Linked DNA regions of Rhinolophus ferrumequinum. The protein of the gene in region 1 interacts with the protein of each later gene in a pairwise test. Links are inferred from orthologs where the notes say so. Each region holds a gene or a part of one and is shown on either strand. Other genes may lie near its edges.

Region 1 (10,677 bases):
TCCCTTTACAAAGCAAGTACTTAAGCTCTTCAGAGTCTAAACTATGTGTTACTTTCAGACAGCTATAGTTTAAAGAATTAACATTCATGCCTACGTTTACTAAGTTCCAGGGTTCTAGTAAAATGTTTATTGACTAACTTCTAATAGGAAACAAAATGAACCGGTGTCACAATATGTTAGTCATCAAAAACTGTCATTGAAGTTAAGTGCCAAAGTAAAATCCACTTGACATTTCAGAATGGAAAAAAAAAAAATGACATATTATACAAAAGGAATGTGAGTCTCTAAACTCTGTAATGACAACAAAAACAGGACTCATAGAAATGTGTTCACTAATAGTTTAATAATCTCTTCAGGCTGACCTTTCCCAGGACTCCCAGACAACTGATTAAGGTATGTTGAAATGTAGGGCCCTACAGGTATTTGATGTATATAAACTGATGGCTAAAGAGTTTTTCTCAAACCTTTCTCTAAAAGAGGCCCTAAAATCGATAGTTTCACTTCTGTTTACCAAACCCTCTTAAAACGAAATCCAGAGAGGAAAACATTAACTTTCACAGTTCCCAATCAAGTACATTTTTCATATTTATTTTAGCATGAATTTGTGCATTTAAAAATACACGTTCACATTTCATTGCAAATAAAACAATTTCCTGTATGTTGCAAAATATCATCCAAGGTGTTCTGTAAAACTTACACTTCTGTGCTTTATTTTATATCACTGCTTCCCATCTATTTACCTCCTAGGAATAATAGCTCATTTTAACCACTGCAAGCTTGATCTGAGCAGGCCACAATCAAGTTACCAACCGTATAATAAACTCACTAGCAGAAATCATAACTGCACCCCCACCCAGGAATAAGTAGCTCTCTCAATCCTAGCCTTAGGGGAAAAAAGGATTTCCCAATTTAGCTATGGGGCTATAAAACTGTAAACCAAAACTGGCAGGTTCACAACTAAATCAAGACATGATTATTCTCAATTATTTTTACTTTCAAATATCAGGGTTACTAAAATACTTCCCTCTATTTGGATTGCCTGAGGAACAGAGAGTTTCCACAACCAAGCTACTTTTTTTTCCTTTTCTTTCTTTCCTTCTTTTATTTATTTATTGCAACAGCATTATTTTTCTTTGTTTAACAGGCTTAATAAGGTGGTGCCCTAATGCAAAGAGTAGACTGCTATTCTCTAAATTATTAAATGCTCATTAAATTATATCCCAAAATAGAGTACAAGTTGTTTATTATGCAAAAGCACCACACATTATCAGTCTTAACAGCTACAGGCCTATGTCCTCTTTCCTGAGACAAAAACCTTTGAACTTACTACCACAGATGTAAAGATCATGGCCAAAAGATCCAAATGAAGAATGAATACACTCAGAATATCTGTCTCCTGACAGTCAGTCCTAGATTTTTCTATTATGATGGCTGTAAAGTTTTAAAACATGACAATGGTGATATCCTTCCCAAATAAATTCCTTCTGCAGAATAAACCCTTTCGAAAACCAGTCATGACTAACTGGCAACTTAGGTTCTAAAGGATGAGCACTTTCACACTTGAAAGGGTTAAGTGCCTGCAAGGCCAATGGTACCAGAAGGCAAAAGAAATGTTGCTTTAGTCAGCTCTGAAAGGTTTCTAACAAGTACCAAATACTTGTTGATCTGTTCACAATAAACACCAGCAGGATTGTCAGGCTCCTTTCACTGTCTGGGGAGAGACATTTACATACTGCACCCAGTAAGAACAGCTTGTTGGTCTCCTTTATAAGAGTAGCGAGAAGCCTCATTCAGTGTCTCCCGTCCAAATGACTGAAAGAAGACGCAATTGAAATAGTGAAGTCTCTCGTCTGGCTTGGGCAGCACAAATACTGTGCATAAAACACTTGGAGTAGTCCAAGCACAAAACAAACCCACCTGAATGGACAAGGAACAGTGTCTGTTGCCATGGCAGCCTGATCTAATTACATGAGTGATCGGGGCTGGAGTAAGTGCACTGAAAACCTACACCACTGACCGTACCTAGAAGAGGAGAAAGACAGGGAGGCAGGAGGTTCAGGGGAGACTTCAACCTCTGCTTTAAGTAGCAGCCCATTTGTCTGTGGAGCTGCTAAAATACTGACTGATGCATGTACAGTTAGAGGGCAGCCAGAGGAGATTAAATGCCACAGCCTTAGCAGTTATGGTGCAATCCCTCTCCAAGAGTTTATATGCAGGATTTTCTTGTCCTCCTCTCTGGTGGTTTCCCTAGGCATAAGCTTCGTTTCAAACAAAAGCTCAACAATCAAACAATCTTCACCCACCAAATAAACCACAAGGTGGGCTTAACAGGGGCTTCTAGGAACTCCAGGGCTCCTCAGAAACCCAAACAGAACTGGCTTAGCTAATAATGTTGAAAAGTAACTAGCTGAGCCTAAAAATAACCATCAAGTAACTGCTGTGTGCGATATGTAAGGATGATGTTTAAATATTAAGAACAGCCTGCATTATAAAACACAAATGTCATCGAGCTGTGACTACTAGATTGCCAAAGGAGAACTTATTTGCATACACGCATTCCCGTGCATGCACGACAGAATGTGCAGGGAGTATGCCACTCCAAGGCTGTGGGTGTAAATGGGGTCTTCTAATTTGGCTCATTGTATCCTGTGGATCTCACAGGGAAGCTAAGAATCTCTTCGGGTACAGAACCAGTTTGGAGGAGTCCCTACTGCACAGCATACGGTTAACAAAATAAAAATAGCTTGCCGTTCTCGTTAGCCACATCGCGCATTATATAACCAGCTTCCGACTGGCTTTTTTTTTTTCCGCCCTTACTACTCACTCTTCAGCAATTCCCAATCTTCCGAAGTATTTATATTACCCTCTTATCTGTAGGATTATATACTAAGAAAGCAAAACAAAACAGAGCCTCCACGGGACTAAACCGAACCTCACAGTCCTTAGGAAGGGATTTTTTTGTTTTCTGGCAGGAGCTCCACCACCACCCTACTTCCACCCCCCCCACCCCCACCAAGGTTCTTGCTAATCTCCCTAGAAAACCTGGATTGTTTCATTGCTTCCAGTCAGCCCCCTACGTGGTCTGAAATAAAATGAAAGCACAAGCCATGGAGTTTGGGAAGGCGGCCTGCGGGCGGGGGGCTGAGGAGGGGTCAGGCGCTGCAGTCAGCCAAGTGGCCTCAGCGGGCCCTCTCCCCATCGCGACGGCCCCTGTGGACGACCCCCCCGCCCCCGCCCCGCGCGCGCACACAGACGCACGCTCACTCACTCACACTCCCGCCGCGCTCCGCCACCGCCTCACCTCTCGCTCCGCCCGTCCGGCCCCTTCCCTGCCCCCTGCGGGGCTGGCCTGCGCGCTGCGCTGGGACCACGTAGGAGGCGGCGGCGGCGGCCGCGGGAGTGGCAGCGTCTCCGGCCCGGCCAGGAGTGAACGAGCAGCGGAGCTCCGGGGCGCATCCCAATAGCCGCAGCGCCTCCTCCTTCCCCTGCTCCTGGCTTCATTCACCCTCCCAGCAGTCGCGCGGCGGTTCACTCCTGGCGCCCACAGGGCAGCGCCTGCTGCCGCTCCTTTCCTCCCGCCGCGGGTGCGGGCGGGGGTGCCGGACCGGGCTGGGGCGCTCGCGGGCTCCCGGCTCCCGGCGGCGGCCACAGGATCAGGAAGCGGCCGTACCAACAGGGCGGCGGTGGTAGCGGAGCCAGGGCCGCCGCCACCACTCCGGCCGCGCTCCCGGCACCCGCACGCCCGCGACCCAGCGCCCACCCCTCCGCGCCCCCCGCGCTCCCACAGCCTGCGCCGGGCCGCGCGCAGAGTCCTGGCTCCGCAGCCGCACGCCGGGAAAGGCCGGCCTCGGTGGGTAGACCCCGGCCGTGGGACTCCGAGGCCAGGCGGCCACCGGCGGGACAGCCCAGCCTCGTCCAGACCCGCTTGCTCTCGCCGCCCTCTTTGGGTAGAAGGGTGAAGAGGGGGCGGCGACAGGAGTGGGCAGCGCGACCCCTGGCCGCTGTCGCCTCCCTTATGCCACCTCCAGGGATAAGGACACAGCTCTCCACACTCGCGAGCGGGACTAGCAGCCGCCCGAGCGAGGCGCCGCCACCGCCACTCTCCCGGCCCGCGCCCCCAGCCCGGGCGCGCCCCCTCACCCGGCGGGCGCCCACCCGGCCCCCAACAGCCCCCCTGCTGGCGGTCCGTGCACCCTGAGCAGGGTGTCGCTTCGGGAGGCTGGAGCCGAGGAAGGTTGTGTGTACACACACACACACACACACACACACCCCACCACCACCACAACACGCCGCGTCGGTTTCCTTCGCTCCTCTTCCAGCTGTTTTCGGTGCCGCCGATTGGGGTTTGGGGTTTGTTTGCTGGTTGTTGCTTTGGCCCCTCTCAGGAGAACGGGGGGCATCTTAATCTAAATCAGGGGAGAAGGGGATGGGGGAGGGGGAGAGACAGAATCAGAGGAGAAAAAAAATCGCCACTTACTGTAAAGTGTAAATGGATCTGGGGTGGCGTGGGGAAGGGGGGGCAGAGGGAGAGAAACAGTGTCTTGCGGCTGCTGTAGCTCTGGCTGCTGCTCCACGGGGCTTGTTTTGAATCCCCCTGCAGTGAAACAGGTCCTGTACGGCTCCGCCACTGTAGTAGAAATGATGTCTGCGGTATACTCTGCTCTCTCCTCCTCCTCCTCCCCCCGCTCTCCTCCCCTCCCTCCCTCCTCCCTCCGCCCTTCCTCCCTCCCTCGCGCTCTCTCGCGCTCGCTCGCTCGCTCGCTCGCTCCAGTATGTAAATGTGTAATAGAAGCCAAATATGGAGCAGTTGGCTGCCGCCGCCGCAGCTCAAGGATCCGACGGGGGGGGGGTGATAGGAGGGGGGACACCCTCCGGCGGGCGGCGGGGCGAGCCTCTCGGAGCCCGGCGAGCGCACGGCGGGCGGCTGGCCCGCGCCCTTAATCCTTCGGTGCGAGCGGCCCGGGCTCGGCGGCCCTCGGAGAGACTGGAGCGTTTCCCCCCAAGACTGGCTCGGGATCGGGGGTGGGTGGTGGGGGGAGGGGGGCAGGGAGACTTGGGTCAGAGGGGACAGTTCTTCCAGGTTTGGGAAAGGGGCGGGGAAGTGAGGCGATGAGGTAATTGTAGCGGTGACTGGTGGGTCCTCGCTCCCTTCCCTGGGTCCCTGCACCTAGTTGGAGGGGACAGAACGACAACGGAGTGCAACTCAGGCACCCTGGAGGATTCTCCGGCTCAGAGCCAATGAAATACCCCAGGGGGAGGGGAGACGAACCAGTTCTGATTGCTACGTGCCCTTGGTTCCGGGCGCGCCGAAAAGCGTCCAAGAGGGCTGACTGCGATCATCATTCACGTTAATCCTCAAACCGGTTTAGCTTCGGCGTTCGGGAACCCAGACCACCGGGGCACGGGGAGTGCCTTTGCGTGCAACTCTGGAAAGTTTTAAGGGACCCCCCCCCCGGACTGCACGTGCCCCTAACCTTTACTGCCTGGGACAGCCGGTGACCTCCCTGCCCTCTACCCAGCTCTAGCCTTGGTAGACGACCTGCGCACTCCTCTCGCAGCTAATTCGGGATCATTAATTTAATCGGAAATGAGGTAACCAGTGTAGGAGATAGAGAAAGCAAACCGAGCATCAAATGGCAGTTCTCGTGATTCCAGGCTGAAGAATTTACTCTGGACTCAATTTTTAAGTGCGGTTCTTACCCCACCACACCGCTCCTCCCCCTCGCCCCCGGACCCCTGCGCGCGCCACACACATCGCACGTATCACCGCCAGGTGTTAGCTCGACGGGAAGGAATCTTCTTTCGAAGGGTGCACCTTGCCAACAGGTGTGGCACCTGGAGGAAGAGAAGGCACATCCCTGCGAAAGGGAGCTCACTGCGGCGTTCCCCTGGCTGCAGGTAATTCTGGAAGACCAGTAGGTGTCCGGGCAGCGTTTGACCTCCTTCAGGTGCTTAGAACCAAGTGTCTAGAAACATGATCCCTCTACGTAAGTTTCTCTCTGGAAGCCACCACTATTGACTGTAAGCTGTATTTGAGAAACCTTTTGGCTAAGTTTACTTATGACCTAACGGTTAGTCACCAGCCGAAGCAGGATACAGAATCACCAAGAGAAATGTGTCAGCTTTTGAACAACTGTATTGTAGAGTCAACGTGCTACAGAAATAAAAAATAAGCATACTAACTAGGAAGGTGTAGAGCCCCGGAAATAACTTCTTTCTCACATTTTGAAATACCATGTACATATACATGGTTATTTAAATAGAACTACTACAGTTCACTCTTACTCATTTCTACAACTTCTTTTTTTATTTTTTTTTATTTAAAAATCAGTGATTGTTACAGTTTAAACACTGGGTTGGTGTAAAATGACATTGTTGGTCTCATTACAGCCTCTAGTGGACAGTTAAAATCAGTTTCCTAAAAAGGCTCTGCCTGGTGTTGTGTTCCTTGACAAGCATTACCAAGGTGAAGGTTAATACCTCAGACATAACCGGGTAATAATCTCTTCCCCCGGCAGAGCCGGCTTCTAAAAGGAGCAGAAGCTGTTGGGTCTGCAGGAAAAGACGTATGCTTTGTGCTGCAGGTATTATTATTACTGGCCTGTGAATAAACAGAGAGCTTCTGCTATTCATTTCAGTTTCAGACAGCTTTCATAAAAACTGAACTCATCTAAAATATTTTTATAACAGAAAATATTGGTTGCCATGTTTTTGGCTTAACTGAGATGTTTTTATTCCAGCTCCTAATCTGCAGACTGTCCAATCCACCTCGACTCTATTTTTAGACATCTTACATTTAGAGAATTTTCAGTAAAAAAAGAGCTAATATTTTAATATTACATTGACACAAACAGTTAAATTTAAGTTATTTTAACAAACTTAATCAAATTAAAACACATGATTCAGGTTAGTCAATTAATTTAAATATTCTCTCAAGGAAGCTAAAATGTATATTACCCAAAAAGTAAGAATAATAACAAATGTGTCATTTACTTTCTTAGCCATTAAGATTAAAGCCATAAACTGCTATTAAAATCTGTAACTATTTCTTCCTGCAAGGTCCAACCAACATAAACATAATACTCATGATATACTTTCTTTACCTTTAGCACTGAAATGTCTTATTTTCAGATGACAAAATAGTAAATGTACAATCACAAATAACTGGTACTAATTCTTTAAAAATGACTCTTTATGCAAATAAAAACTCAATGAAAGGAGAGCAGAGCTTTCAAGGAGCCAGTAGGCAAATATGTAGTACTGTGGTCCTATTCATAAACCTGATACTATATTTGTACAGCATAAGTCAAACTTTGAAATTAAAGGAAATTGAGAAATAAGGCCTGCTGAGCCTTACTCCTAATTTGTGTTCTGTATTGCTTAAACACGATGGAAAATCATTTTCATCCCTTATATCTATTTCACTGTTTTTGGTAGTATCTATTTTTGAAGGTTTAAAACGGGCTATCAAGAATATATTATATCATTATGTCTTGTGTCGAAAAACGTAGTCTTCAGAATAGCAGCAGCAGCATCTGGGAGTTTTCTAGACATTCAGAATGAGAGCTCCACCCCAGACCTACTGAATCAGAATCTGCCTTGTAACCAGCCCCTGGGTGATTCCTAAGCACATTCAAGTGTGAAAAATTCTATTCTATACTACAGGGCTCTGTCTATATGAATTTGGCCACAGATGCAGAACTTAATTCTCCTATTTATTCCTTTTTTATTTACTCCCTCTTTTATTAATTTGCACTTTTTAATGAGTAATTATTACATTCTATGCTTTGGTCAAATAGTACTGCATTTTTGAAGAGCTCTGATGTATACACAAATCTGCATCATCGTTGCCAAGAGAACACTGTGAGGAAAGTGCTGGGGTCTTGAACGTGAAGGTTTTCTTCATGGCAGCAGAGGGAGCAAAAGAGTACTTAATAAAACAAGTGTACAGGCAGCCCAATCGTAAGGGGTTTTAAATTGTAGTATTTGTTTTCATTGGAAGTAGCCTTTTGTATAGTTCAAAACAAAACAAAAACAAGCAAACACAAACAGCTTACCAGGTTATAACAAATAAATAGTGAACAGATTGGCAGTTAAATAGAATGGAGATGTACTTATTTAGAGTTTTAGGCTTGAATTCCTAAAAGAAAGTAGACTTCAAAAGTCATACTTGGAAAACATGCCTTAGCTTTTCTCCAGTCAAAAATAAAAATAACATAATCATTTAACAATATATGTAAGTCAAACCATCGTGCTGTGTGCCTTAAACTTACAGGGCGGTGTGTATCAATTATTTCTCAGTAAAATTGGGAAAAAATAAAGATACAATATAGAATAATGCAACTCTAAGAGTAACTCCTGTTTATCTCTTTAAAACGTTGAGGTCAATTAACCCAACACTATGTCAGGTAAGTTTGTTTCATTTGGACTCAAATGTCTTGGTGAAAGAATGCACTTTTCACCATGTTTACTTTCACGGTAATTTTAAGGGTTTGTCCTTAATGTTTACTGTGGTGAGGACGTATGTGTCAATTATATCTATGTAGCATTTTATACCTTTCATAGCCTTCGGTATTCCATCTTTAAACACTCCTGCCAGGTAGATAAGACATGGGAAAGAAAGGCAAGCCTCAAAACAGTTGTGGAACTGACTTGTGCTTTCATAGCGCTGGGACATTTGATTGTTACAATTATCCATTGAAGAGAGAGAAGAGAGAAGTTCAGAGAAGAGAGAAATCAGAGGTTAGAGATCCAACAGCATGTTCTTTACAGTTTAATAAAAGGTTTTTCAAAGTTACTAGACAGTGTTAATAAGTGGATATTTAAATAAGAGACTTATGAATAGAGACTATGTCTTCATTCTCAAGTTGCATTTAATGTATTTGTTATTTACTTACCAACAGCCTTTATGATTTTATGTATTTATTATTTACCAACATTTATTGTGCATCTATAATAACTAGGCCCTGAGAATATAAACATGAGTAAGACATCTCTGTCTGCAAGTAATTCATAGCACAACAAATCTTATCTTTTGAAAAATGTTAGTTTTTACCTTGAAGAAACGTAAAGATTCATAGTTGCTTCATCCATCACCTCTAAGAATCATTACATCAATCAGACTTCCGAATATGAGAATCAAATACTAAAACCATTGAACATTTGGGAGGTGGATGGGCAACTCTTAAGTAAAATTTGACTTAAAAGCTAATATTAATATTTCAAATTTATAAAACAAACAAAATGTAAATCTATAACACGTATTCTATCTGAATTCCTGCCTTCTCACACACACAAAAAAAAATCACATGAGTAATTTTAAGCAGTAAACATTTTTTTTTTATCATTTTAAAACTTGTTCAAAAGAATTTCCTCCTACATGAAAGAAGGATTTGCCAAGTTTCTGTCTGGAGCAATTTGTTATGGCTGTGTAATAAATCCCAGAAAGTTTGAATTTTTAATGGAAACACTGACAGACCTTTAACCATGCTATAATAAGGAGGGTGTTATCATACATATGTCATTTAAAAATCTGAGCAAATCATAGCATGCTCGCAAAACAAATATACTTTCCTTAGACTGCACTCCAAAATGAAGCTGGGGAGACCAGAAAACTAAAATAAACTAAAAACAAAAGTGAAAACCTCTCTCACACAATGGACTCTGAGGTCAGCTCGCCACACCCAAAGTCACTGGGCTCTCTGTATGTCACAGGGACTCTTAAAGGACGTACTTCTGAATCATCTGTCTTGACCCTCCACTAAACTGTAGCAGAACAGGCTTCTGGGTAATGGAAGCGACATCACTAATAGTCAAGAGTGAAGTGAAAATCGTTGTATTTAAACATCTGCCAATAGTTTATTATTTAACAGTATACACATTGTACAATTTTAAATAAGATTCTGTCTACAATTAAAAACAAAAACAAGTTCTTTAGTGTAGGTCAATATTGTCTACTATGGCTATTAAGCACTTGAAAGTGGTTAGTCCAACTTAAGATGTGTTATATAAGTGTAAAATATATTAGGTTGGTGCAAAAATAATTGCGGTTTTTGCAATTATTTTCAACCTTTTAAACCGCAATTACTTTTGCACCAACCTAATACTACGGATTTCAAAGACTTAGTGCACACACACACACACGTGCACACACATACACACACCTACATACATATACACACATGTCTATGTATCTCAACAATGTTTATATAGATTAAATGTTAGAATAAAAATAGTCTGTATAATTAGATTGCATAAAATGTACTATTAAAATTAATTTTACCTTTTTCTTTTTACTTCTTAATGTAGCTACTATAAAATTTACATGTGTGGAAGGATCGCAGATTATATTTTTAATGGACAGCACGCTATAGATAATGGGGCTGAGGAGGTGCATGAATGAGTTCTAAGAACCCTCAGCTGGAGACCTTAGGATCCTGGCATGGCTCTCTGCAGTAATGTAGTGGATAACTTAGTTACTTTTCTACCTTCCTCAGGTTTCCTCCCCCCTTGCAGTGTATGACATGGACCTCTTTCCTTGTTAAAAGTACCCCTGAGAGGGAGCTATCTATCAGTGAAGCATTATGGGAAGTTTCATCTCAGTGAAGGCATCATCTCACTGGAAGATCTGGTATGGGCCTGCAAAACGAAAATTTGTTTACGCTCTTCTGTGATTCA
Region 2 (10,564 bases), on another chromosome or scaffold:
TTATTACTAAACATCAGAATTCATAGGGATTAAGTGGAAGATATTTTACTGTTTTAGAAAAAGATTACTATTATACTGAGAAAAAAAGACATACTCCCTTTTCTTTACAATAACTACCTTAATTAAGTTATAAATAATAAATTATCATCACTGTATGCAGGTGTCACTATGAAGTTTTGATTCTGTGGTTTGGAACAGCAAGAACTATTTGAAAAGTTCACTGCCATTTGTAACCTCTTTTAACACACAGATGCCAACATTATTTACAATAGATCGTGAAAGTGTTAACAGTGAAATTTTCTAATTAAAATAGCAATAATATATTACAAACCCAGCAAGTCTTAAGTGTTTATTATTGTGGCTATTATCAATAAATCAACAAACAAGTGGTGAGGATGCAAAGAAAAGGGGAGTCCTCATGCACTGCTGGTGGGATTGCAAACTGGTGCAGCCACTCTGGAAAACAACATGGAAGTTCCTCAAAAGATTAAAAATAGAACTACCTCATGAACCAGCAATTCCACTTCTGAGTATTTATCTGAAGAAATTCAAAAGACTACTTCGAAAAGATATATGCATCCCTATGTTCTTCGTAGTATTATTTACAATAGCCAAGATATTGGCAACCTAAGTGCCCATCGAATAGATGACTGGATAAAGAATATGTGGTACCTATATACAATGGAATATTATTCAACTATAAAAAAGAATGAAATCTTACCATTTGTGACAACATGGATAGATCTAGGGGATATTATGCTAAGTGAAATAAGTCAGAAGAGAAAGAGAAATACCGTATGATTTCACTTACATGTTCACTAAAGAACAAAATAAATGAACAAAACAGAAACAGAGTCATAGATACAGAGAACAAACTGATCCCTGCCAGATGGGCGGGATGTGGGGGGGGGGGGGGCTGGGTGAAAAAGGTGAAGGGGTTAAGAAGTACAAAGTGATAAGTGATAGTTATAAAATAGTCACAGGGACAGCACAAAGAATATAGCCAATAATATTGTAATAACTACGTATGGTGGCAGGTGGGACTAGTTGTACCAGGGGGATCACTTTGTAAATTATATAAATGTCTAACCACTATGCTGTACACCTGAAAGTAATATAATATTGAATGTCAACTGTCAATTGAAAAATAAAAAATATTTTAAAAAAGTGTTTATTACTGTAACGTTTTCAAGAATGGAAAAAATAGGTGTTATCAACCCTCAGCTTGAGGAAATAAAATTTAACATGAACTCAAATGGGTATAATTAGATATTTTAAAGTACCACGACAAGAAAATCGCTTTTATTACTTGGCAAGAAGGCATGGCAATGCGTATGTTCTGCATAGTATTTGAAAAAGCTTATTTCAATTTTATAACATTTTCTACTGCTGCTGCCATGTAAGGCTCCTTGAAGGAGCATCCAATTGTACTGGGTTTAGTAAGTTGGGAAGTCTGCCATAACATTATGTACCTCAGCTCACTATTTAGCATAAGGTGCAGCTGCCTTGAACCCTGGCCAGGCATTACTGTCAGAAGACTTCATAATAGAACTGTTTTCATGCTAACTTTAAATTGGCCTAACTGCACACACTCCAAGGACACTATTACGTGTGAAGACACAGTACACTTTCACAAGTGCCTAGGAGGAGAAAAGAACAATGTGTCTGGCATGTTGACTCACAGAAAAGAAACACACAAGTATTGATAAATAATGAAAATTAAAAACCAACAAAACTGTAGTCAGCCTATGGCCATAACGAATTCAAATTACTTTCTTAATCTTAACGCTGTATTAAAGGAATTCAGCTGTTGCTTGCTGGTAGCCTGGTAGCACAATGAACATGGGTAGTAATTATATAAACTAGATCTTGAAACATATTAAATTTAAAAGATATTACAATAACTTATCACTACAATAATTTGCCACTTTTATTCCAAGTAATCCATTTGAAATATATTCCACAAACACTTGCATTTTAATGCCAAAAACAAAAAAAGTCTTCTATAAAATAAGCAACTTGTATATACCCAGTTACCAATTTCCCATATAACTTTCACTCTAAAAATGGCTAGCTGCAAACTGCACTTACTTTGTCACTATATACAAGTAAATAAAAACCCCCACAGTACTCCTCACTAATGGAACATGTGCTGAGGTTGCAACACCTGTGCATGTGAATAAAAAACTTACTCTCTTAATATGCATGAAATATTTAATCATAATATATATAATCTTAACATGCATAGTTAATATTTAATCATACATACTGTGTTAGGCACAATGCTAGGGGCTTTACATACTTCATCTCTAAGCTTCACAACTCCATGAGTTAAGCGTTATCATCCCCATTTTACAGATGAGGAAACTGAACTGAAACTCATAGTGGGGTCCTACAGCTAACAAGAGAACGTAGGAACCTCCTATATTTCTAGCAGCGCTTTCTGTATATAAAGCACATGAGATCTGACAGCATCAATTATATAATTTATCAATTAACCAACAAGTTTTAGAAAATGCTATGCTGAGTGATATATGCTATGGATACTCTGTGGGGAGCTGAGGGGCCTTACCTTTCAGGGTTATGCATTCCATTTTAAGAATTACAACACACCAAGTTTCTTCCAGGTCCTGAATCGATGGATCTATGCCAATTCTGTATCTAGGTGTGTTATTTATGGAATATGGAAGATCATTAAGCCAGTATAGTCTCATCAGACCCTGAAGAAAGGGTCTAACATTCGGCAAAACCCAATGACTTCTTCAGAACACAAGTTCTGATTCTGGTAACAAGCCTCAGAAGTGGGCCTAGAATTTTATCTGATTACAGGCATGTCTACTATAAATTACAGAATCTATTATTTAAGGACATAGTCACCTCGCCAAAACAGCAAGGAGTGAAAAAATGAGGGCTCAGTATGTGAGGAATAAGCATTTGCTTTTAAATATGGCCAAATTTTGTTAAGGTGTGTCCAGTTACTCTAGTCATACTGGTATCCTACCATATTAAATATTACATAGATAGACCTTACTGTTTCAAATATAAAAAGGTGGGCTTTCAGTTGACTTTTATCATCTTTTCATTACTTGAAAGTTCTTGTAATCAATGACATTTAAGCTAAAAACAAAGGCTTTCTTCAGAATTATAATCAGGCAAACTGTAATCTGGGAGATACATATACACATTTTTTTTTCCTGGAAAATCTTATTAGAATAATCATCTGCTATTTACTAAGCCTTACTGTTTTAGAAAGCATTTCACCTTTTACTTAGTTGACTTGCTGTCCCAGGACAATTATACGCGGGGCATGCTACCCTCAAAAATGGAAGTTTCTACATAAAAAAAGCTAGCTCAAACAACAGATGCACTCTCCTCTGCACCTTGCAACAACAAAAAAGAGAACAACGACAAGAAACTTCAAATACACAAGGGCTTTGGAGGGCAGCCTAAGACTCAACCATAAAGTGTGTAAATCTGATTCCCGGAGTCCGTGGCACTGACAGTCATTCAACTTTCTTTTAAAATTTCCCATTGTGTTTTTCTGGTACACAGGCAAGATGTACCTACATTTCACCAACCGACGGAACGCCTTATTTCCTTTCTAAAAATTCTCCCGGTGCAAGGCCGGGGACCACGGTCGTGGGGTGGCCGGGGAGTTCGAGGCAGCGGCGCCAGCCACCCTAGAGAGCACAACCACGCACCGCACCCGTCCCTGGCAGGCCTGCTGTGGCTGGTTCCCGAGTCCCTGGGGCTGCAAGGGCAGCAGCAGCCATGGCAGGGACTCGGGAACCTTTCCCCTGCCTCCTCCGCTAGGCCTCCAGGGGTTTGCTTTTCACATGGCCCCCGTGTGGGGGCGGTGGGCACAAGGTAGGGGATGCAGCTGCAGCCGCAGCGACGGGCCAGGAGAGCCGGACTCCCTCGGAACCCGACCTCCCCACGGGCTGGCAGTAGCAGGAGAACCTCGGCGGGGCCCTGGCTGGAGCGCCGACGGCTCGGAGGAGAAGGCCACCTTCTCACACACCACATCTCTCCCCTGCCTGCCTCCTTCTCCGTTAGCGCTACCGGTTGGAGGGCGGGGGAGGGGAGCGAGGCGCGTTATTCCCGGGGAGCTGGAGAGGGGGAGGGGAGGGCATCTCTTACCCGCGTTACTGAGGAGGAGGAGGAGGCGGCTGGAGTGCGGCGCAGCGGGGCGACGGCGGGGCTGGGTGGGTGCAAGTACGAGTCTTACGAAAGGGAATTAACCCCATCACCAGCCCGGACACCGGCTCCAGCGGCGGCCGGGGCTGGCAGAATCCCGCCCCTTCCCACCACGCACTAGCCCCACCTTTTCGTTCTCTTTGAGGGGCAGTCGACAAATCATAGGCTGTACGTTCTCGGAGTGACATGAGGATCATCCAATCACACCTGGACATACTGCCTTCTCTCCACCCCTTTATCTCCTCTCGGGCCGCGGGAGAGCCATGCCAAGTCTTCCTCCACCCTCAAGGGAAAAAGAACCAATCGGTGGTTAGTAACCGCCCTTGAAGGACGCAAAGGGCAACCAATGGGAAAACTAAGAGGACAGCCATTTTGCCCACTTGTAAAAGAGCCACCTTTTCCCACGAGTTGGAGCCTAAGGTAGGGGAGTTCTGGGAGTTTTTACTGAATTGGAGATATTAGAAAGACAACCATATTTCTTCAAGGAATATTTGTAATGCTTTGTAGGAATAAAAGAAAATTTTCATCCTTCATGTGCTGGGAAGTCAGGAATGCTGTTTAAAAACGTGGCTCCTCCCCTTAGCGGTAACGGGTTCTAAGCCCAACACCTGGTTTCTCCAGCCTCAGTGGGGTGGAAGGCGGGGTGATTGCCCTCTTTGGACGGGGGCGGACTACATTTCCCAGCGTGCTTTGCCCCTGTCCATATCCTTTCCTCCGTTTACTCCCTGCGGTTCCTGACGGTAATTGTAGTTCCTCAGAGGTACCCATGCTGCCCCGCTGGCCAATGAAAAGGGACAAACTTTTGAATGATTTGGAGTTCAGGGTGGAGAACTAGTTGTTACGAGGCTGTGGTGAATTCTTTTCGCCACCCTAACAGAAGAGATAAGGATAGAAGAGGAAGGTGATCAGAGAAGAGTTTTCTCAGAACGTAAGGGTTTTGTAATCCTGGTATTTGAACTCTTACTTTCGGTGTGTGTCTCTTAAGTCACTTCCGCTTTGGGGCGGACACCAGCCAAACCTGTGGCGGGAGTTGGAGATTCTTCAGCGAATACACCAGGTGTGGCCGTCTGGGAGTGGCGTGGGGGGCAAGTCTGTATTTTCTTGCGTGAGAGATAGGTAGTTGAACGGAATGTAATTGCATTTTAGGAAAGAGTGAAATGGGATGGGGTGGTTCCCAAGTCCATAATGCCGTTCTCCACCCCAAGTCTTCAATCCCAGAGTCTAATTTTTTTCTTGTGTTTTGACTTGCTCACTATTAGATTGCACCCACGTATTTGTAGAGGGTGCCTCTAATACCTTTACCCCTGTCGGTGCGTGAAGCATGGCTTCATGTCGTCACTGACTGTATACAACGGGCTCTCAAGTTCTGAGCTAATTCCTCCCACTTTTACAGACTTATAAAGGCTGGTTCCTAAGAGAAAAGCTACAGAAGGGCTCAGGTTTAATAATCAAGAATGGTGCCTTTCCCAGTCGACGACAGGTGCCAGCTATAATACACCGATGAATAAAGATCTCATTGAAATACTTAGGAGCCCATAGTCAAATACGTTTAGCCCAGTAGGCCCGGGTTCATGCCCCCGTCGGATGCAAAGTTGAGTGTATCTTTGCTGTTGGACGTTCCCTTTGAGGTGCCTTGGGAAACTCATTGAATAAAGGAGACGCAGGAGGAGTTATCAGAAAAGGTCTTTCTCCCTCAAGCCTAATGGCTTTCATTCTTAAACTTTTTCCCATCATTTGACTGAGACTTTTTCAGATAAATTCTATTTCAGTTTTTCCTATGGTGTCACTGAGACTTTTATAAATCATCTTGTAAATGTTTATTGAGCACTCACACTACATTGGGCACTATACCAGACTTTGGGGATACAGCAGTGCTAAAAAGACAGGCTCCTTGTCCAATATCAATGAGGAAGACAGGCCAAACAAAAATTAATGGCAACATTACTCGTTCTTTTAATCTGTCTCTAAATTAAGTCATTAGTCATGTTTTGTGTGTTTATTCCATCACCTCTTTCCATTCTACCTGTGAATTAGAAAGAGTGTATTTTCCCTTTTCATCAACATTATTTTTTTTACTGAAGCACTGATAAGTCTGTCCAATACTCATGAGTGGTGTTTTTGCACCAACTAGATGATACATTTTATATTCTAGTCCGGTTACATATGGGAATGTAACCGTACCTTTCAGCCAACAGTGTTGTGTGTCCGCCAAACAAAGAGTTGTCTCTTGTTCTTTAATTCAATTGAAGTTTTCTGTATAATTTAGCGGTATAGTCTTCTGTAGATACTTAGTTTTTTGTTGTTGTGAGCTTCTTCTAGTGTAAATCAATAAATAGTAATGATGGCCATCATTTTATTGAGTGTTTCGTCTGAGCCAGAAATGATGTGTTAGTGCTTTAAGTACATATTTTCTGTAATGTTCTGCAAGTATTGTTTCTTGATATTTTATGGTTAAAGAAAGTGGGGCTCAATGAAGTTCAGTAAGACTTTAAGGCCTCGATCAGTAAATTTTGGAGCTGAGATTCATATCCAAATATGTCTCATTCCATTCCTGCTTTTCAACTATTTATTAATCTCCCAAGATATGCCAGACATAGAGTGAAAGAGAAATGTAAAATTTCATCCCAGTATTCTGGAACCAAAGGTGGCAGTCACTTCCTTTTTTGAGCTATCCTTTGCCATAGATATAATACCTATTCTTTGTATTTGAAAACAGGAAAATATAAAAAATGAAAATAAATGTCATCTGTCATCCTATTACCCAGAGATACCACTACCGTATTTCCCTGAAACTAAGACCTAGCCGGACAATCAGCTCTAATGCGTCTTTTGGAGCAAAAATTAATATAAGACCCAGTATTATATTATATTATTCTGGGTCTTATAGTAAAATAAGACCGGGTCTCATTAATTTTTGCTCCAAAAAACGCATTAGAGCTGATTGTCCAGCTAGGTCTTATTTTTGAGGAAACACAGTATTAAATTTTAGTGAATATCCTTACAGTGTCTCTCTCTTAAAGGTACAGACATGTATCAATGGTATCATACTACTTTGCTCTTTTGTAAACCTTTTAAACTCAACAATAGGCTGTGGATATGACTGAGTAAATATCTGTTATCATTTTTTATGGCTATCTGGTATTTCATTGTATGCCTCTAACATTCAGTTCCTAAATTTGCTGTCTTAACCGTTTTTAAGTGAATACGAGGTCAGATAATTAAGTTTGCGAACTCATCCTAGAAAAAGTGCTAGGTACCTCATTGCTGAATATCATCACTACGGTCACCTTTGACGTACTCCCCTTGGGAAGCTATGCACAGATGCTAGCACCTAGTCCACCCTTCAAAGCAATTTTGGAACTCTTTTCTGGAATGGCCATCAGAGCTGTTGTCGTATTACCTTTGATGTCCTGAATGTCATCAGAATGTCTTCCTTTCATTATTTCCTTCCTCTTCAGGTAAAGAAAGATGTCATTGGGGGCCAGATCAGGTGAGTAGGGAGGATGTTCCAGTAGTTATTTGTTTACTGGCTAAAAACTCCCTCACAGACAGCGCTGTGTGAGCTGGTGTATTGTCATGATGCAAGAGCTGTGAATTGTTGGCGAAAAGTTCAGGTCGTCTAACTTTTTCACGCAGCCTTTTCAGCACGTCCAAATAGTAAACTTGGTTAACTGTTTGTCCAGTTGGTACAAATTCATAATAAATAACCCCTCTGATATCAAAAAAGGTTAGCAACATTGTCTCAACAAGTTCGCGAACTTAATTGTCACCCCTGGTACTACAGTTGTGTTAAGTATATGCACTTTGTCGTGCAACAGATTTCTGGAACTTTTTCATCTTGCAAAACTGAAACTGTACATATTGAACAACAACTCCCCTTTTACCCTCCCGCAGCTCCTGGCAATCACCATTCTACTTTCTATTTCTAAGAGTTTGACTATTTTAGATGCCTCATGTAAGTAGAATCATGCAGTATTATTTGTCCTTTTGTGAGGGGCTTATTTCAGTTAGCAGCATGTCCTCAAGGTTCATCCATGTTGGAGCATATGACAGAATTTCCTTCTTTTTTTAATGCTGAATAATATTCCATTGTATGTATATGTATAAGTGTTCCATTTTATTTATCCATTCATCTGTCAATGGACGTTTAGATTACTTCCTCCTTTTGGCTGTTGTGAATAATGCTGCAGTGAGCTGGGTGTGTAAACATCTATTCAAGATCCTGTTTTCAGTTCTTTCGGATATATACCCACATTTGGGTTGCTGGATCAATTAGTAACTTTTAAGAGCAATAGTGCTGTGAGCTCCATATTTGTATGCTTGTCTGATTATCCCTTAAATCTAACTTTTTAGAAATAGGATTATTTAGTCACAAATACTCTGTGATTCCTAAATTGCTCTTTAGAAAGGTTGTGCCCATTTTCTTTCCTACTTACAGTGTTTGAGAGCACCCATTTCCCATCTTTTATTCTATTCAATCTGATAGAAAGTGATCCCTCGTTAACTTAATTTGTAGTTAAATTCTGTTGATGTTAAGCGTCTTTTATATCCATGTCACCTATTGTTTAATTTCTTTTGAGTAGCCTGTTGCTACCTATCATAGTCTCTTAATACTTTTAAAGGAATTACTTCTTAGGTTTTTTAACTCTTTGTCACGTAGTTTGAAAGTCTGTACTCCCATTTTGCTTTTTAATGATGTTTTTCCATGACATAGCTTAAATTATTTTAGTGTTGGAATCTTTTTATAGTTTCTAGTTTATTTGTGATGCTTAGAAAAGCATTTGTGATGCTTAGAAATTAGATTATAAAAATAACATGTATATATAAATTTTTATGTGTTTTTACATTTAATTTACAATTTATGTATACGTTGTTTTGTTTGGACTCTGTTATCTTTTATTGTTCTGTCTTTTCTTTAACGTATACCATACCCATTATCTTAATTTCTGTAACTTTATGTTTTGATATCTAGTAGGTAAAGTGTGCTTCCACTCTTTTTTAGACATTTTCTTGTCATTCATACATTCTTTTGTATTATTAGATGGATTTTGGTGTCATTTTGTCAAATTAAAAATAAATCTCTGTACTTTTATGTTTTAACAAAATACAAGTTTGACATTTATATAGATACTGAATACCAAAAGAAAGGAAAGTATTTCAATTTATATTAACAATACAAAATTTTTCATGTTGGTATAGTCAAGGCTCAATGGGGCATTCTGTGTTCTGTAAAACGTTTTTATTACAGAACTGGATCTAAATGGTTACAGTTTAATAGCACATCTGATTTTTTAAATTGTATAATCACTTTCTGTACAAGACTTCCATTTCATAGGTGGCTTTCTGTAGCAGCCGATAACTTCTGAATGCTTATCTCTAGTTGGTAAACTATTTATCCCACTATACCTCATAGCCTTTCCCCAGTATTTCAAATTCAATATGTCCCCAAAATCTGTTCCTCTTTCACTTATTCTGTCTCATTTGTTATTTGGTCAGGAAATACTTATCGAGCTTCTACTAAGAGACGTACTGGTTAATGGCTAAGAGAATAGGCTCTAGGCTCCCGAGGTTTGATTCTCAGTTCTGCCACATACTCCTCCTCGGTTGACCTTGGGTAGATTAGTTCGCCATCTGTGCCTTAGTCTCCTTATCTGTAAAGTAGAGATAATGAAATACCTGTGTCACAGGAGCATTGAATGGCTTCATATATGTAAAACACATAGAGTAGTTTCTGGCACATAGTAAGTATGTGTTGTTTTTTGTTAATATTGTTTCTATTGACCTGGCTGGTGCTAGAATGCTAAAGGAAAACAGTGATGAACAAGACAGTTTATGGTCTTTGAGCTTATAAAGGCATTCTAATGAGGGAGAGATAAATTCAAGTAAGCAGATAAAAATAATTACCAATTACAGTAAGTGCTTTAGGGAAACCAACTAATATTAAGGAACACATGGGGGAGTCCAGTTGGGAGCTATTGCAGTATTCCAGTTGAGCAGTGAGAGCTTGGGATAGGTGATGGCAATGCAATTGGAAAGAAATGGACTTTTGAGATATATTTTAGGAATAATTAATGATTAATAATAAGGGGATTTAGTTTGGTGGTTAAGGGAGAAAGAGAAAAAAAGAATGAACCCCAGTTGCTGGTTTGAGTAACTTGCATGATTGTACTATTTCTGAGAGAGTAGGGAGCATACAAATTTGGAAGAAAAATCAACACATTGGTTTTGGACATTTAGACTAGAAACATCTATGAAATATGCAAAATGTCAGGTAGGTAATTAGATGTAGGAATCTGAAGCTAAGAGATTGTAAATTGTATTATCTGGACTATTTGTGATATTACCTGGACAGCCTCCTAAAAGGTTG

The links. The genes of interacting proteins can lie anywhere in the genome.
Region 2: the proteins of ATXN1 (region 1) and R3HDM1 interact in binary tests that used the Homo sapiens proteins (3 or more experiments, as listed by UniProt). The link is inferred for Rhinolophus ferrumequinum from reciprocal best matches to the Homo sapiens genes ATXN1 and R3HDM1.

The regions. Positions count from the first base shown.
Region 1 is NC_046292.1:78,027,427-78,038,103, reverse strand, and holds the start of ATXN1 (ataxin-1), read right to left. Parts: upstream 4,676-10,677; 5' UTR 4,478-4,675; intron 3,512-4,477; exon of another isoform or gene 3,302-3,511; intron 3,282-3,301; exon of another isoform or gene 3,269-3,281; intron 1-3,268. UniProt on the Homo sapiens protein: Chromatin-binding factor that repress Notch signaling in the absence of Notch intracellular domain by acting as a CBF1 corepressor. Binds to the HEY promoter and might assist, along with NCOR2, RBPJ-mediated repression. Binds RNA in vitro.
Region 2 is NC_046291.1:82,810,673-82,821,236, forward strand, and holds the start of R3HDM1 (R3H domain-containing protein 1), read right to left. Parts: upstream 4,307-10,564; 5' UTR 4,141-4,306; intron 1-4,140.